2 linked regions of the Arabidopsis thaliana genome follow. The protein of the gene in region 2 purifies or fractionates together with the protein of the main gene of each other region. This does not show direct contact. Each region holds a gene or a part of one and is shown on either strand. Other genes may lie near its edges.

Region 1 (8,068 bases), on a different chromosome or scaffold from region 2:
GTTACTAAAAACAAATCTTATTTTATTTTTTAGTAAAAGCTAAAAAAAAATCTTTATAATTTTTGCATAAGATTTCTATTTTTATTACGATGTAAATTTTGGAAGAAAAAACAGTCCACAACAATTTTATTTTTACTTTTATATCTCAGCATGACTACCGATTAGAATATATAAATGGTGAAACAGAAGCGGTTTTAATCCGCAATCTTATTAATCAGTGTTCCATGTACAAACCATTCAAAGCTAAAATTGTTCAATTGTTTGTTTTATGTCAAGCTTACAATTTTTCAATAACTCCTCATTTTCACATGTTTGCATGTGAAAATATTGATCCAACGATCCAAGAGACTTACAATTTGCTATTATTAGTATCAATTGGGATTAATTGAGAAATTCTATAGTCTTGAAACATGAATAAAGAAAAAATAAATGTGTTGACATGTTAATGAGGGATTAAAGAAATAAAAAAAAATTATTAGTAAGTTTAAGCGAGGTGAGAATGTAATGAACACCATTTTGTATTAGTAATTATACAATTCCATAGGCTAATCAACATGTAATAAAAAGTTTTAAGACCATGCAGTCGTTGAGGCTGTGGCTGTAATAATATTCATCCTTGCAATTGCGACTTAAAAACCAGCCATGTTTTTTGGCCCAAGAACCCTCACTAATCAAAACACATTCGCACAACAGCACAAGTTATATGAGTTCGCCAATTGGTACGTCTCGGTAACACTTGTAAGACCATCTCCATCGGAATATCTGATTGAGATACTCATCAATTAAATAATAATTAAAAAGAGAAAAAGTATGAGAGAAGAAGAGAAAAGTGGAGAAACTGGCAAGAGAGACTATTCTCAGCATTTATTGAGAGTTGTCATTCAATTAATAGTTCATTTACTTCAAACTAATTAAAATATATTAATTTGATTAAAATATTAATTTATTTACTTTTTGAGATACTCTCTACCACTTTTGCCGATGGAGATGCTCTAACAATCTCATCTCGTCTCTTATCTGCTTGATAGGCTTCGGTTAAACCTTTGTAATCAGGCCCAAAGTATTAACTCCTGTAAATAATTTGATAAGCCCATATTTTGTAATCAGAACCAAACCCTAAACCGGAAGTCCAAAAACCCTGTGGAGCAGCAAGTCAACACGCCCCACATTGGCTAATCCATGACATCGATCATATTATATTTATTCATATTGTCAAGTGATGATTCTTCGTTCATGTCTTTTAACATCACACAATTTTCTGCCTGAAATTACCGACTGCTAAAAGTATTTAATCATCTCTATTTTTATCTCCATTCTCCACGTTATAGGTGAGTCTATTTTATAGGCATTTTATTCTAATATATTCTTTTAAAATAGTTTTTTTTAAAAAATAAAAGAAATATATGGAAAAAAAATCAACTCAATTTTCTTTAAAATAAAAATAAAAATATATATCAAAAATGATCTAAATATCAAGCATCGACTCGTGTGATCGATTCTTTATTCTTTAAATCGTAAAATGACTTAATAAAAATTCGACTCTAAAAATATACAATAGATATGATTTATCAGTTGTCAAAAACTAAAAATAAAAAGTAGTTAAAATTTAAAAGTAGTTATAAAAAATAACCATACAAAACAGGCAACAATTGATTATTATTTTTTATTTTTTTGTTTTTCACTTTTGTGATTAGTAACCATTAAAACAACGCACATCTAATCATTGCGGTATATGTCTATTTTTATCAATAATATTTTTTTTATCATATAGTAATTATGATTTATGAATGTATAAATAAAATAATTCTGATTTTATTCAGAGTATATAAATAAACAAAAAATCTTCATTTCTCGGGTCGGGTCTAAATCGCGAGTTTTCGCGTAGGTTTGAGCAAAAAAAAAAAGAGAGAGAGTGCACAGTGCGCTTTTGGTAGAGAGAAAGGGTTGTTATTATTTAGGATTGATGTCTTCTTCTTCCTCTTCGTGATTCTCTCACACAATTTTCACCCATTTTCATGTCTCTTCCTACCAAACGCTCTACTTTCTCCGCCGCTTCTGCCTCCGACGACTCTTCTTACTCTTCTCCTCCGATGAAAAAGGCCAAAAACGACCTCCACCATTCCCCTCAACACCCTAATACCGCCGACAAGGTTGTTGGCTTTCATATGGAGGAAGATCCAACTCCCGCCGCCGCTAATCTCTCTCGGAAGAAAGCTACACTTCCGCAACCTACTAAGAAGTTTGTAATCAAGCTCAATAAAGGTTTCGCTCGATTTCGATTTCTTTCATCTTTACGATTTTGATCGTAATCTTAGGATTTGATTTGGGTCTTTTACTCTACTGTGCAATTGATGCTCTGGATTGATTTGAAATGATACAATTGTTAAGGTTCGTGATTTTTAGGGTTTTCATTGGCTTGCGATTGATGGAAGTTTTGTGTGAGTTTTGATGTTAAATTACAGTGGAAAATTGAGTGTGACTGTTGAATTTTGATGTGAATGAGTGATTTGGGTTTTTGTATTTCTTCTAAGTTGGAATCTCTTTGTCTAGCCTGATCTAGGTACTTAAGATCCGGAATCTTTGTTGTGCACAATCTAGTTGGCTTAGCTCTCACCAAACCTAATTTGTGCCATTAGAAAACATCTTGAGAATCATCTTTACTGTGACTGGCTAGCAAATTGAAGATAAAAGTGTTTTCATAATTAGGGTTCTGATTGTACCATTTGTATTATATATGTGAAGCCAAACCAACTCTACCAACAAACTTTGAGGAGAATACATGGGAGAAGTTGCAGTCAGCTATCAGAGCTATATTCCTCAAAAAAAAAATTTCGTTTGACCTCGAGAGCCTTTACCAGGTTAGGTTACGTGCAAATTTACTTACTTCCTTTCTTATTCGTATGTGTAAATGTCGTGCTGATGAGATTGTGATTGTTTTTTCAGGCTGTTGATAACCTTTGCTTGCATAAGTTGGATGGAAAGCTTTATGACCAGATTGAGAAGGAGTGTGAAGAACACATCTCTGCAGCTTTGCAATCTTTAGTTGGGCAGAACACTGATCTGACTGTTTTCTTGTCACGTGTTGAGAAATGCTGGCAAGACTTTTGTGACCAGATGCTCATGATTCGTAGTATAGCCTTGACTCTGGATAGGAAGTATGTGATACAGAATCCAAATGTACGTTCATTATGGGAGATGGGTTTGCAGCTTTTCCGGAAGCATCTTTCTCTGGCCCCTGAAGTTGAGCAGAGGACGGTTAAAGGTCTCTTAAGTATGATTGAAAAAGAAAGGTAAATTTTTAACCTTCTGGTCTTCCAAAATTAAACGAGGGTTGATTTATCACATTGAGAATATAATTTCATAAAGCCACTTTACCTCAACTTATTTTTCTGGCTTTTGAGTGAATATGGTAAGTTTGGATGGTCTATGAACTATTCCTGTCTAGCAGTGATAACTTGTTATAGGTAAAATTTCAAGGCAAATCAGGACTAGTGTATGTCATTTATATATTGGATAATGTTTTCATCTGAATCTGCTGAACTTTCTTGCATGATATTGGTCCTGCAGGTTAGCAGAAGCTGTTAATAGGACTCTACTAAGCCATCTTTTGAAGATGTTTACTGCACTGGGAATTTATATGGAAAGCTTTGAGAAACCTTTCCTTGAAGGGACCTCTGAATTTTATGCCGCTGAAGGAATGAAATACATGCAGCAGTCTGACGTTCCGGAGTACCTGAAGCATGTTGAGGTGCCTTGCATGACTTCATATAGTTTCCTTATGATTAGCTGCACTACAGGTTAATAGTCTTTCTAAGGTTTCTACTGGTGATTGGTGCAGGGAAGGTTGCATGAAGAGAATGAGAGATGCATACTCTACATAGATGCAGTAACCAGGAAACCATTGATCACAACTGTTGAAAGGCAACTTCTCGAACGTCATATACTTGTTGTTCTTGAAAAGGTTCCAATCTCCTATTATTCTTGTGTTGGCTTGCATATTATCCAATTTTAGTTTGTCGTAGTCTTACTTTATTTCTGAACATCTTCAGGGTTTTACAACATTAATGGATGGACGTCGTACGGAGGACCTTCAGAGGATGCAAACCTTGTTTTCTAGGGTCAATGCACTTGAGTCTCTGAGGCAGGCGCTAAGTTCATATGTTCGGAAAACTGGGCAGAAGATTGTTATGGATGAAGAGAAAGACAAAGATATGGTACAATCACTGTTGGACTTCAAGGCTTCTCTTGACATAATATGGGAAGAGAGCTTTTACAAGAACGAATCATTTGGTAACACAATCAAAGATTCGTTTGAGCATCTGATTAATCTTCGACAGGTATCAAATAGTGATTTTCTTGATTATTGCCTGAGTCTCTTGCTAATAATTTTACTTTCATGTAAAAGCAACATACTGATTATTGTGGAAATGTCAACCTTAAATTACAATTGTGAAATCGAGAAATTTATATTTTATAATAATCTATAGATTTCGTTACTGATTAAGCACTGTATTGCTATGATTTGGAGACATCTTTGGGCAGTGAATACTATTTTCAAACATAATTTTGAGATCAAGCTTCTTGTGGGCACTGGACCTGATCACAGTAGTGTTGTTTGCTAATATATATCACTTTGGATACCAAATACTCTGATTTAGCAAGCATCCCAAATAATATACATCTTATGCTGATAATCTTTTTTACAGAACCGGCCAGCTGAGCTTATTGCCAAGTTTTTGGACGAGAAACTCCGTGCTGGGAATAAGGGTACTTCTGAAGAAGAATTGGAGAGTGTTCTTGAAAAAGTCTTGGTTTTGTTCAGATTTATCCAGGTTATCTCTAATTTCTTACATTTAGTACTGTGTTTGTCACTGTAAATCACTGCTTCGAGGCCAGTGCATGGTCTGTAAACCAGCTATTTGATCTTCTGGATATCGGTTTTGCTGATGGATTTTTATTATTTATCAAAGGGTAAAGATGTGTTCGAAGCATTTTACAAAAAGGATCTTGCGAAGAGACTCCTGTTGGGAAAGAGTGCTTCAATCGATGCTGAGAAATCCATGATCTCTAAGGTTAAAAACTGATTTATATTCTGGGTGTTTCCCTTTCCCACAATTTGTTTTCTATATCTGTAGTTCTCACCCACTGATCCCAACCTTGGTTTTACCTACAGCTTAAGACTGAGTGTGGTAGCCAGTTTACAAACAAGCTCGAAGGGATGTTCAAGGTATCCTTTCTTCTCCTTCTCTATATTCAAAAAAGATGTTGGTCGTTTAAGTTTTACTAAGGAACAAACTTAATGATCTTATATTTTGTTACGTTTTACGATATACCCCGGTATACATATTCATTGTTAATCCAATCTAAGACAGGATTGGCGGATGATCCTGCTCCATACTTATTTTAATGAACTTGTGTACATTTACAATAATCCTAATGAGCTTGAACTCTCCGTTTTATTGAAATTTTCTCCAGGATATTGAATTGTCAAAGGAAATCAACGAGTCATTCAAACAATCTTCCCAGGCCAGAACAAAACTGCCATCGGGAATTGAGATGAGTGTCCACGTTTTAACAACAGGGTATGTACAATGTATCAATTTTATCCAGGATATAACTGCTGGAATGCGGATATCATGACATATATAAAGCTTGTTAACTTCCCGTCTATAATACAGGTACTGGCCAACATATCCGCCTATGGATGTTAAGCTTCCTCATGAACTAAATGTCTATCAGGTTTTACTAAAAGTTCTTCTTATGTATTTTTTTTTGTTTCCTCGTTGGACGTTTTCTTACAAGCTTTTTCTAAGCTATCTGTATGTTTCGTAGGATATCTTCAAAGAGTTCTATTTAAGCAAGTACAGTGGTAGGAGGTTAATGTGGCAAAATTCATTAGGCCACTGTGTTTTAAAGGCAGATTTCTCCAAAGGTAAAAAGGAGCTGGCTGTTTCCCTGTTTCAGGTCAGTCAAATTTTTTTTCCCCCCCCCCCCCTTTTAAGCTCTTTCCTGTCTTCCCGAGGTTACAGTGTTAATCAATTGCTCTTTTCTTTTTGTCTCAGGCTGTTGTGTTAATGTTATTTAACGATGCAATGAAACTTAGCTTTGAAGACATTAAAGATTCCACCAGCATAGAGGACAAGGAGCTGAGGAGGACTTTGCAGTCGCTTGCTTGTGGGAAAGTCCGTGTCCTGCAGAAGGTTTGGCCAAAATCTGGACTCTGTTAACTCTCTTTTCAGCTAATGCAGAAACTGCCGAGATTATGGCTTTGCCTTTTTCCATAAGGATAAGCCTTATTGTGTAAATATTTTTGCAGAATCCTAAGGGAAGAGATGTAGAAGACGGTGATGAATTTGAATTTAATGATGAGTTTGCAGCTCCGCTGTATCGCATTAAGGTACGTTGGTTTTTTTCTTGGTCTCTTCACTTAAAGTATCCTAGAATCTTGTGATACTGTTTTGTATGTAGCTTATAGTGAAGCAATTCTTTCTTTTGTTCCTGGGTGCAGGTAAATGCGATCCAGATGAAAGAGACAGTAGAGGAGAACACAAGTACAACGGAAAGAGTATTCCAGGACCGACAATACCAGGTTGGTTTCTGCTCTCCATTTTCCTTTACGATACTAATTTCTGAAATCGTTCTTACAACTTTGGCTTCTTAAACAAGAAAAGATTTTGACAAAATGGTTTTCCCCATCACACCCTTCTCTTACAGATCGATGCAGCCATTGTTCGTATTATGAAGACAAGAAAAGTCTTGAGCCATACTCTTCTAATCACTGAGCTCTTCCAACAGGTAAATTTCACTCCTGCTTGATGATTTTAAAATCCGAAATAACATGTCGGTTTATGAAAAAAGAAAGCATGAAATTCGTTACTAGGTCCAGTCCTATTGGTAATATACTCGTGATGATGATTAGAGTTCTCAGTAGTCTACTAAATTTAATATACCATTGCTATGAATGGATATATGTTTGTGATTTGCAGCTCAAATTCCCGATAAAGCCTGCTGATCTGAAGAAGAGGATTGAGAGCTTGATCGATCGAGAATATTTGGAGAGGGAAAAAAGCAACCCTCAGATATACAATTATCTTGCTTAGAATCTCTTTGGTAAACACACCTTTTGAATATTTTCCTTTTTGTATATTTATTGACAAACAAACGATGACCGAAATTTTCTTATCAGTTTGAAAAAAAAAAAGAACTCTCGATATTCCAATCATCTCTATTCTCGCTGTTCCGCCCGTTCTTATGTACAGCCTTAAGTTCTATTTCTTACTTTGATTCACTTTTCCTCGGTTCTCACTTTTTTTTTTTTTTTGAACATACTTTCTTGGGACTTCTTTGTTTTCAGATTTTTATACAACTTAAAAGATGTTTTTGTTTCCCTACAAAAATAACTGATTTGTTTTAAAAAAATTCAAACTTCCAATAAAGTTCCTAAGATAGGTTATATATCTTCGAGGGTTTTCTATGTGCTGATTCCATTTTGTTTTCGTTTTTGAGTTTTATTTGAATGGAGATAGTTCTTAGAGCTTTTTCTTCGTTTTTAGGCAATTAAATCTTAAGTTTAATCGGATTTTTTTTTACACTACATTATAGGCATTTCTGTTTTTACCACTACCAAATAACTAAAGAAAGAACAGAGAGAATCAAATTGCTTACTTGATGAACGTCCCTAACGACATTTAACTATGGCTGATCAATATTGTACGCAACTGAAAGACAATTGAATAAAATTCATACTACGGTTTGTGAAATAGTTAAATGTATCTACACGTACATTTAAGAAAAATGGAAATATATTGACTCATCGTCCAACTGCTTCAATCTAGTGACTCCACAGCTTTTTAGTTCGGGTTTCATACTGTAGTAGGAAAGTAAACGAACTATGTAAAGAAAATTGGATTTCAGAAAAAAATAATTATTTGATGAAAAAAAAATTGAATGAAAATGTTGTTTACGAATATTTTTGCTAGTCAAAATTAAAATATTTATAAAATTTATTTGTCTTTAGCTAAAGTTGATGAGACATGAGAGGTAGCTAGGAAGAAGGATTGTTTGCCTA
Region 2 (5,609 bases):
CTATAGATCTATCAGGTCAAGGACAGAACAAGTTGTTGATTGGTGCCGAGAACGTGACGTATCAACCTAAGAAGTGGTGTATGTTTAATACAGAAGCCAAAGATTTGACAAAACTCGCTGCTAACATAGATTACGCCTGCACTTTTTCGGATTGCACTGCGCTTGGTTACGGGTCTTCTTGCAATACTCTTGATGCAAATGGGAACGCTTCATATGCGTTTAACATGTATTTTCAAGTAAAGAACCAGGATGAGGATGCTTGTATCTTCCAAGGTTTGGCCACCATTACCACAAAGAATATATCTCAGGGACAATGCAATTTCCCTATTCAGATTGTTGCTTCCACAGCTTCTTCATTTTCTTCTTCTTTGGTTTTGTTGATCGCTGGAGTTTGGTTTCTCTTATCAGGAGTGATGTTTGAGGTTTAGATTAGTGATGTTTTTGAGGACTTATTTTTGTGGATATGGAAACTATATGTTTTGTCCATGTATTAAATTGCATAATATGGTAAAATTTTACTTGGAAGAGTGAGAATCATTTAGTTATGGATCCAAATATTTGATCAATGGTGGTCATAAGAAAACAGGACTCGCAAAAAATTGAAACTCTAACGGCAGTTAATGTACGTGATCAGACTAAACCGGTCCAATGTCATTTTAATGGTTCAAATTTGATAGCAACTACGGAACCACAAACCAATTACACTTAACCAAACAACTAATTGGTCTTTAGTCAGGAGCAAGATCCTAAGAAAAACAAAGAAAAGGTTTCTTAACCTCTGCAATAATCTGACTGACACATTTCGGTACCTCTTTAGGGTATCGAGCCAAATCAAGAAACTGTAAGGAGTTTTACAATGAACTGCTACGAAATGTGCAGAGATGGCTTCCAAATTGAGAGATGACATCAACAATACCTCCATAACCTCCCACAGCAACTACCTGCAAATACAAAAGAATTGGATCAACGGTTAAACATTGAGTTTCTAGTCCAGAAGGGGTAACATATTTGCAGAATATTAGCAGTAACATAGGAAATGGGAGAAAAGCAAACACATATATAGGAAATGGGGAGAAAAGAAGGGATTGGAAACATACTCCTGCTGGATGCAAGGAAATGGAAAATACTGAACAAGGAGCACAGTGAATTTGAGAAAGCAAAGCTCCATTTAAGTCGAAACGTCTTAGAAGTGGTTCTGCTCCTACAGTCAAAATCTGATAGTGCGATACTTGTTAAAGACAACATTTTTAAAAAGATGTTTAAACTTTAGCACAGGAATTAAAACTAGGTGTTGACCTCTGTTTCTAGTTTAGAAAAGTCAGTAATTTTTTTAATAAACTTCGTTGAAGAGGGATGATTCAAAGAGATACTACATAAACCTATTAAGCCTTGATAAACAAATAACACCCACGGCCTCCCAAGGCTTTAAATTACACTGCTTAAATTTCAATCTAATCTTGTTCTGCTTACTTGCTTTTCATCAAACATCACATCCTGTACATGTGCAGGGATGGGTATTGTTTGTACGCATTCTGAGGCGGGAAGATTCCATAAAGCTAAATTTTTGCCCTGTCCACAAACCTGAAAGAGGAGAAAATCATACCAATAACAGTAAATACATGTTCAGTATTTAAACTTCTAAGTGATTCTTCAGGAGAAAGGAACTATATTCTTAGGTTACTGGAGGCAACAATCCCTTCAAACAAATAGCAGGTTGCGAAAATGTTAGATTATCTAGTTGCTTAGTTCTTACCAACCAGCTTTCACTCCCATCAAGGGCCATAGAACTAACGCGAAGGCGGGACTTTTTATCCTGGGAACCAATTACTTTAACACATTTTCCCGTTTTGCAATCTGGTTGACAAAACAGAAAGAAGCCCTTGAGCGAACAAAGCTTAGTCTAGACAACTAAAGTAAACCACATGAACCAAAACATAACATAGTGGAAAGTTCTGTAATCACCAAAATGAATCATCATAGAGTTGTAAGAAGCAGCCAACAAAACTGAGGAGCATTGGATCTTAAGTACCAACATGAAGACTCAAATGATTTCAAAAGTTCTATAACCACGTATGACCTAATACTAGAAATTACAGCATAAAGAAATATGGTCGGGAGCATGTTACCCCAGATTCTCGCAGTCCCATCCTCTGAACCCGTCAATATCTGGAGAAAGAGACTACAATCAGACAAAAATCCAAATGTGGAACTCAGATTTGGATAGGTGCATTTCTAATATTTATGGTAACATCATTACCTGACTTGCAGAACTACGAGAAACTACAGTATGCAAATAGTCTGAATGACCTTTAAAGGTCATTTTAATCTTACCACTCTCCTGAAATTGTTGGATACACATAAATGATTTTAGAAAGTTAAGATATCTGGATTCACATAGGACATACATCTATCATGGTCAAATACATACCACGTCCCAACAATATGCGCAAGAATCACCAGCTGCTGTAAATACACTTCCTGACTATCAAAACGAAAGAAGTGAGAGAGGGTGAAACAGTTATCCTGTGAGACTGTCTAACCAAGCAATGAAATTTAAATACAATTCCAACCTGAGGATCAACAGACATGGCATTGATCTCAGGCATCGGTGAAAGCGCACCCCAAGGACCTCTATAAGAAAAAGAATGGTGATTATACACACAACTATTACGAACACTGACATTTGAACCCACAATTATAGCATTTTCAGTAACAGAGTTATCAAGTAGAATAAAAAATGAACAAAACTCATACTCACTTGTGTTGTGGATTAATCAGTTCAAGCAATGGCTTCAGATGATTCTCTGTAGATCATAAGAAAAACAACCACTAAGCTCCAAAAAGCATCATTCATATCAAAAACCACAAAAATGGCACACACACACCTTTCAAATGAAGAGACACATCTGATTCAGCAAATTCTCTCCATTTCCATCCCCTAACTCTACCATCATCACCACAACTACACATAACCAGATCAAAATTTCAAACTCTCAATTACAATTCATCAAAGACTCATCAATCAACAAAGAGAGATTTAAGTCTCTACCTAAGTAGCAAAGCATCTTCGTCTTCACCATAGAACTTAACATCATAAGCAGGACCTTCGTGTGCCCTAACCACTCTCTCAGGTTCAGCCACCATAACATCTTGACCTTTCGAGTAGCCAAAACTCGCCGATTGAGACACAAGCGAGTTCAGTGAATGGAAAGCTAAAGTTCCATCGCTGGAGGCTACAACAAATGCGTCTGGATTAGAGATTCTCGCCGGAGGAGCCCAGGCGGTTCTGAAGACGGTGCGTGTCTCTATCTCTCGCTCCTTCAAAATTGATTCTCTATACTCATCTTCATTCCAGTTTGTAGCGTCTCCGTACATGGTCCTCTGCTTCTTTGCAATTCCCGGTGATACTTGCGAAACGCCAGCGATATTACCACCAGTGGTTTAGTGCAATTGACGACTGAGAGAAAGCAATCCCTAAACCGGCCGATTTAGTAATTCTGTTAATTATATTTTACTAGCTTGTTTTTTTTTTGTCGATCAAATTACTAGCTTGCTTAAATAGACGAATTGAAGAAATAAATTTAATTTTGTATCGATAATATTTGAATTCTAAATAGTAATATATACATATTTTGTAATATTTAATTTAGTAATTTTATTTAAAAACAAAATTTTAATTTTATACATTTCATTTTAATAGAAAAATAGGTAAAAAAACTCTCACATTTTTTAAAAACATGAAAAAAAATCTTACCTTTTTAAAAATAGTAAATTAACACCTAGGATATCTTATTCAAACTAACATATCCTATGTTATTCAATTATGAATTTTTAAAAGTATCATGAAATCTAATGCTATTGAATTACTGATTTTAAAATCTCCTTAAAAATCTTCTGTTATTGAAAACATTTTAAAGATTGGATTTTAGTGACTTTAAGAGACTTAAGTGGATTTTCTTAGTTAAAAATATATAATTTTAAATCTCATGGTTTTAGGTGGAATTTGAGAGGATTTTACCATAAATCATAACAACCTCCTTAAATTCATCCAAATTCTTTAAAAAATCAAAATTATATAAAAACTCAAATAACTTAAAATATAAGATCGAATACACCTCCTTAGATTCTAGTGTTATTCAATTTTTGATGATTTTAATGCAAGTGTTATTCATTTTTCTGTCAAAACCAACATTTCATTCAAATCACCAAACCGAAAGTATCAAAGGATAAACCTCCAATGTAATTGAAAAACTCAATTAATTTTGAATGCAGTATGAGTAGAGAATTTCACTTCCTCCGCGGAGATCTGTCTATTCGTTTTAGAGATTCCATAGAATTCAAGATTCAGATGCTCTATTTCGTGTTTAATGTTAATAGCACAATATGATGAAGACAAATCAATTCAAAATTTTTTGTTCCACTTCTTTTGGTCTTCCGTCTCTTCAAATTTTGACCCATATATCTCCTCATCTATATCTACCAAGAAAAAATCATAAAGAAGACTCTGTGCGTTTTTGTTACAATTAAAATCTCCACCTTTCTTTTTGGCACTTCCAGCTTTCATAAATCTCACATCTAGGGCTACATAAATCTCATTCGCAAATACTGATTCGGAAAAAAAATTGAATTCATCCAAAACAAATGAAGCCGTCCTAGACCATCTGTAAGCATCAACTTCTTAGTACTATTCACTAGAGCATATTTGTCCTCACCCAAACATAAGTTTGCCAACTTCTCGGAGATAAAAACTGACATGCATCGTTTGCAACTCATCTCGAAAAGAATCTGGTAGATTAATCAACATGAGAGATTTTTTCGGTAGTGGTATTATGTAACCGCCATCATCAAAACCCAAGCTGGTAAGTACGTCTTCATCAGAAAATTCAGGGTCCATTAATTGTTCCTTTGTTGGTTTAGGTTTCTTATTCTTTGCTGGTGCGATCTTTGGACGATAAACATTTATTCTAATACGTTTTTTACCTCGACTTTTCTTCGTCATACCAGTATTCCAAACTGTGAAGTACATAATGGCTGTTAAAAGCTAGAAAAATTGCAGTATAGGTAATGACTAATGGACCATGTAGTTTATGGTCGGCTGATTGATGAATACACATGTAAATTTTGGTATGATTGAATAAACGTTGACGTTTCTAGAAACGTATTTAGGGGGACCGCTTATGTAGTGCTTGCGTGAGACACAAACACATATGAACAAGGGAATGTGGAAGGAGAATCAAATCAAATCAAATGCCAAAACAATATTAAAAACGTATTTCGAAGATGTTCATAATTCGTTGTCCTTGCATCTTTTGTCTTTATTTAATTAACTCCAAAACCTTTAGTAATATTCGCTTTTACTTCCATTTTAATATCAATTCCTCTAGCTTACGTTTCGGTTTTACATTCGCCCTTACAAAGATTACTTTTTATTCCTTTGGTTTTTGATTGGAGGATCAATGAATGTTCTAGCTAGAGATCTTAAGTTTGGGAATCTTTCACATAGATCTAGACCTATGTTATGTATACTTAATTGTTCAAGTGGTCGTTTACGCATGCAATGACCAAACAAATAGTTTATTTCGTTTTAAGTGGGATCTCTCACTCTCAAA

What was found.
Region 1: the proteins of DWA1 (region 2) and CUL4 purify together in Arabidopsis thaliana (affinity purification with western blotting, with the first as the bait; one study listed by BioGRID). This does not show direct contact.

The regions. Positions count from the first base shown.
Region 1 is NC_003076.8:18,730,601-18,738,668, reverse strand, and holds CUL4 (cullin4), read left to right. Parts: upstream 1-1,853; 5' UTR 1,854-2,015; coding exon 2,016-2,262; intron 2,263-2,742; coding exon 2,743-2,858; intron 2,859-2,943; coding exon 2,944-3,290; intron 3,291-3,567; coding exon 3,568-3,748; intron 3,749-3,838; coding exon 3,839-3,961; intron 3,962-4,049; coding exon 4,050-4,337; intron 4,338-4,706; coding exon 4,707-4,832; intron 4,833-4,970; coding exon 4,971-5,072; intron 5,073-5,173; coding exon 5,174-5,227; intron 5,228-5,475; coding exon 5,476-5,582; intron 5,583-5,678; coding exon 5,679-5,739; intron 5,740-5,832; coding exon 5,833-5,964; intron 5,965-6,062; coding exon 6,063-6,200; intron 6,201-6,316; coding exon 6,317-6,397; intron 6,398-6,508; coding exon 6,509-6,589; intron 6,590-6,714; coding exon 6,715-6,795; intron 6,796-6,986; coding exon 6,987-7,100; 3' UTR 7,101-7,298; downstream 7,299-8,068. UniProt on the Arabidopsis thaliana protein: Component of the CUL4-RBX1-CDD (COP10-DDB1a-DET1) E3 ubiquitin-protein ligase complex which mediates the ubiquitination and subsequent proteasomal degradation of target proteins. Participates in the CDD complex to light-mediated control of development.
Region 2 is NC_003071.7:8,412,983-8,418,591, reverse strand, and holds DWA1 (DWD (DDB1-binding WD40 protein) hypersensitive to ABA 1), read right to left. Parts: upstream 3,547-5,609; 5' UTR 3,376-3,546; coding exon 3,050-3,375; intron 2,963-3,049; coding exon 2,886-2,962; intron 2,805-2,885; coding exon 2,759-2,804; intron 2,632-2,758; coding exon 2,571-2,631; intron 2,483-2,570; coding exon 2,429-2,482; intron 2,339-2,428; coding exon 2,258-2,338; intron 2,167-2,257; coding exon 2,127-2,166; intron 1,855-2,126; coding exon 1,754-1,854; intron 1,582-1,753; coding exon 1,471-1,581; intron 1,215-1,470; coding exon 1,098-1,214; intron 942-1,097; coding exon 852-941; 3' UTR 598-851; downstream 1-597. Other genes in the region: AT2G19440 (O-Glycosyl hydrolases family 17 protein), read left to right, coding at 1-428; AT2G19420 (uncharacterized protein), read right to left, coding at 4,709-5,013. UniProt on the Arabidopsis thaliana protein: Acts as a component of the THO subcomplex of the TREX complex which is thought to couple mRNA transcription, processing and nuclear export.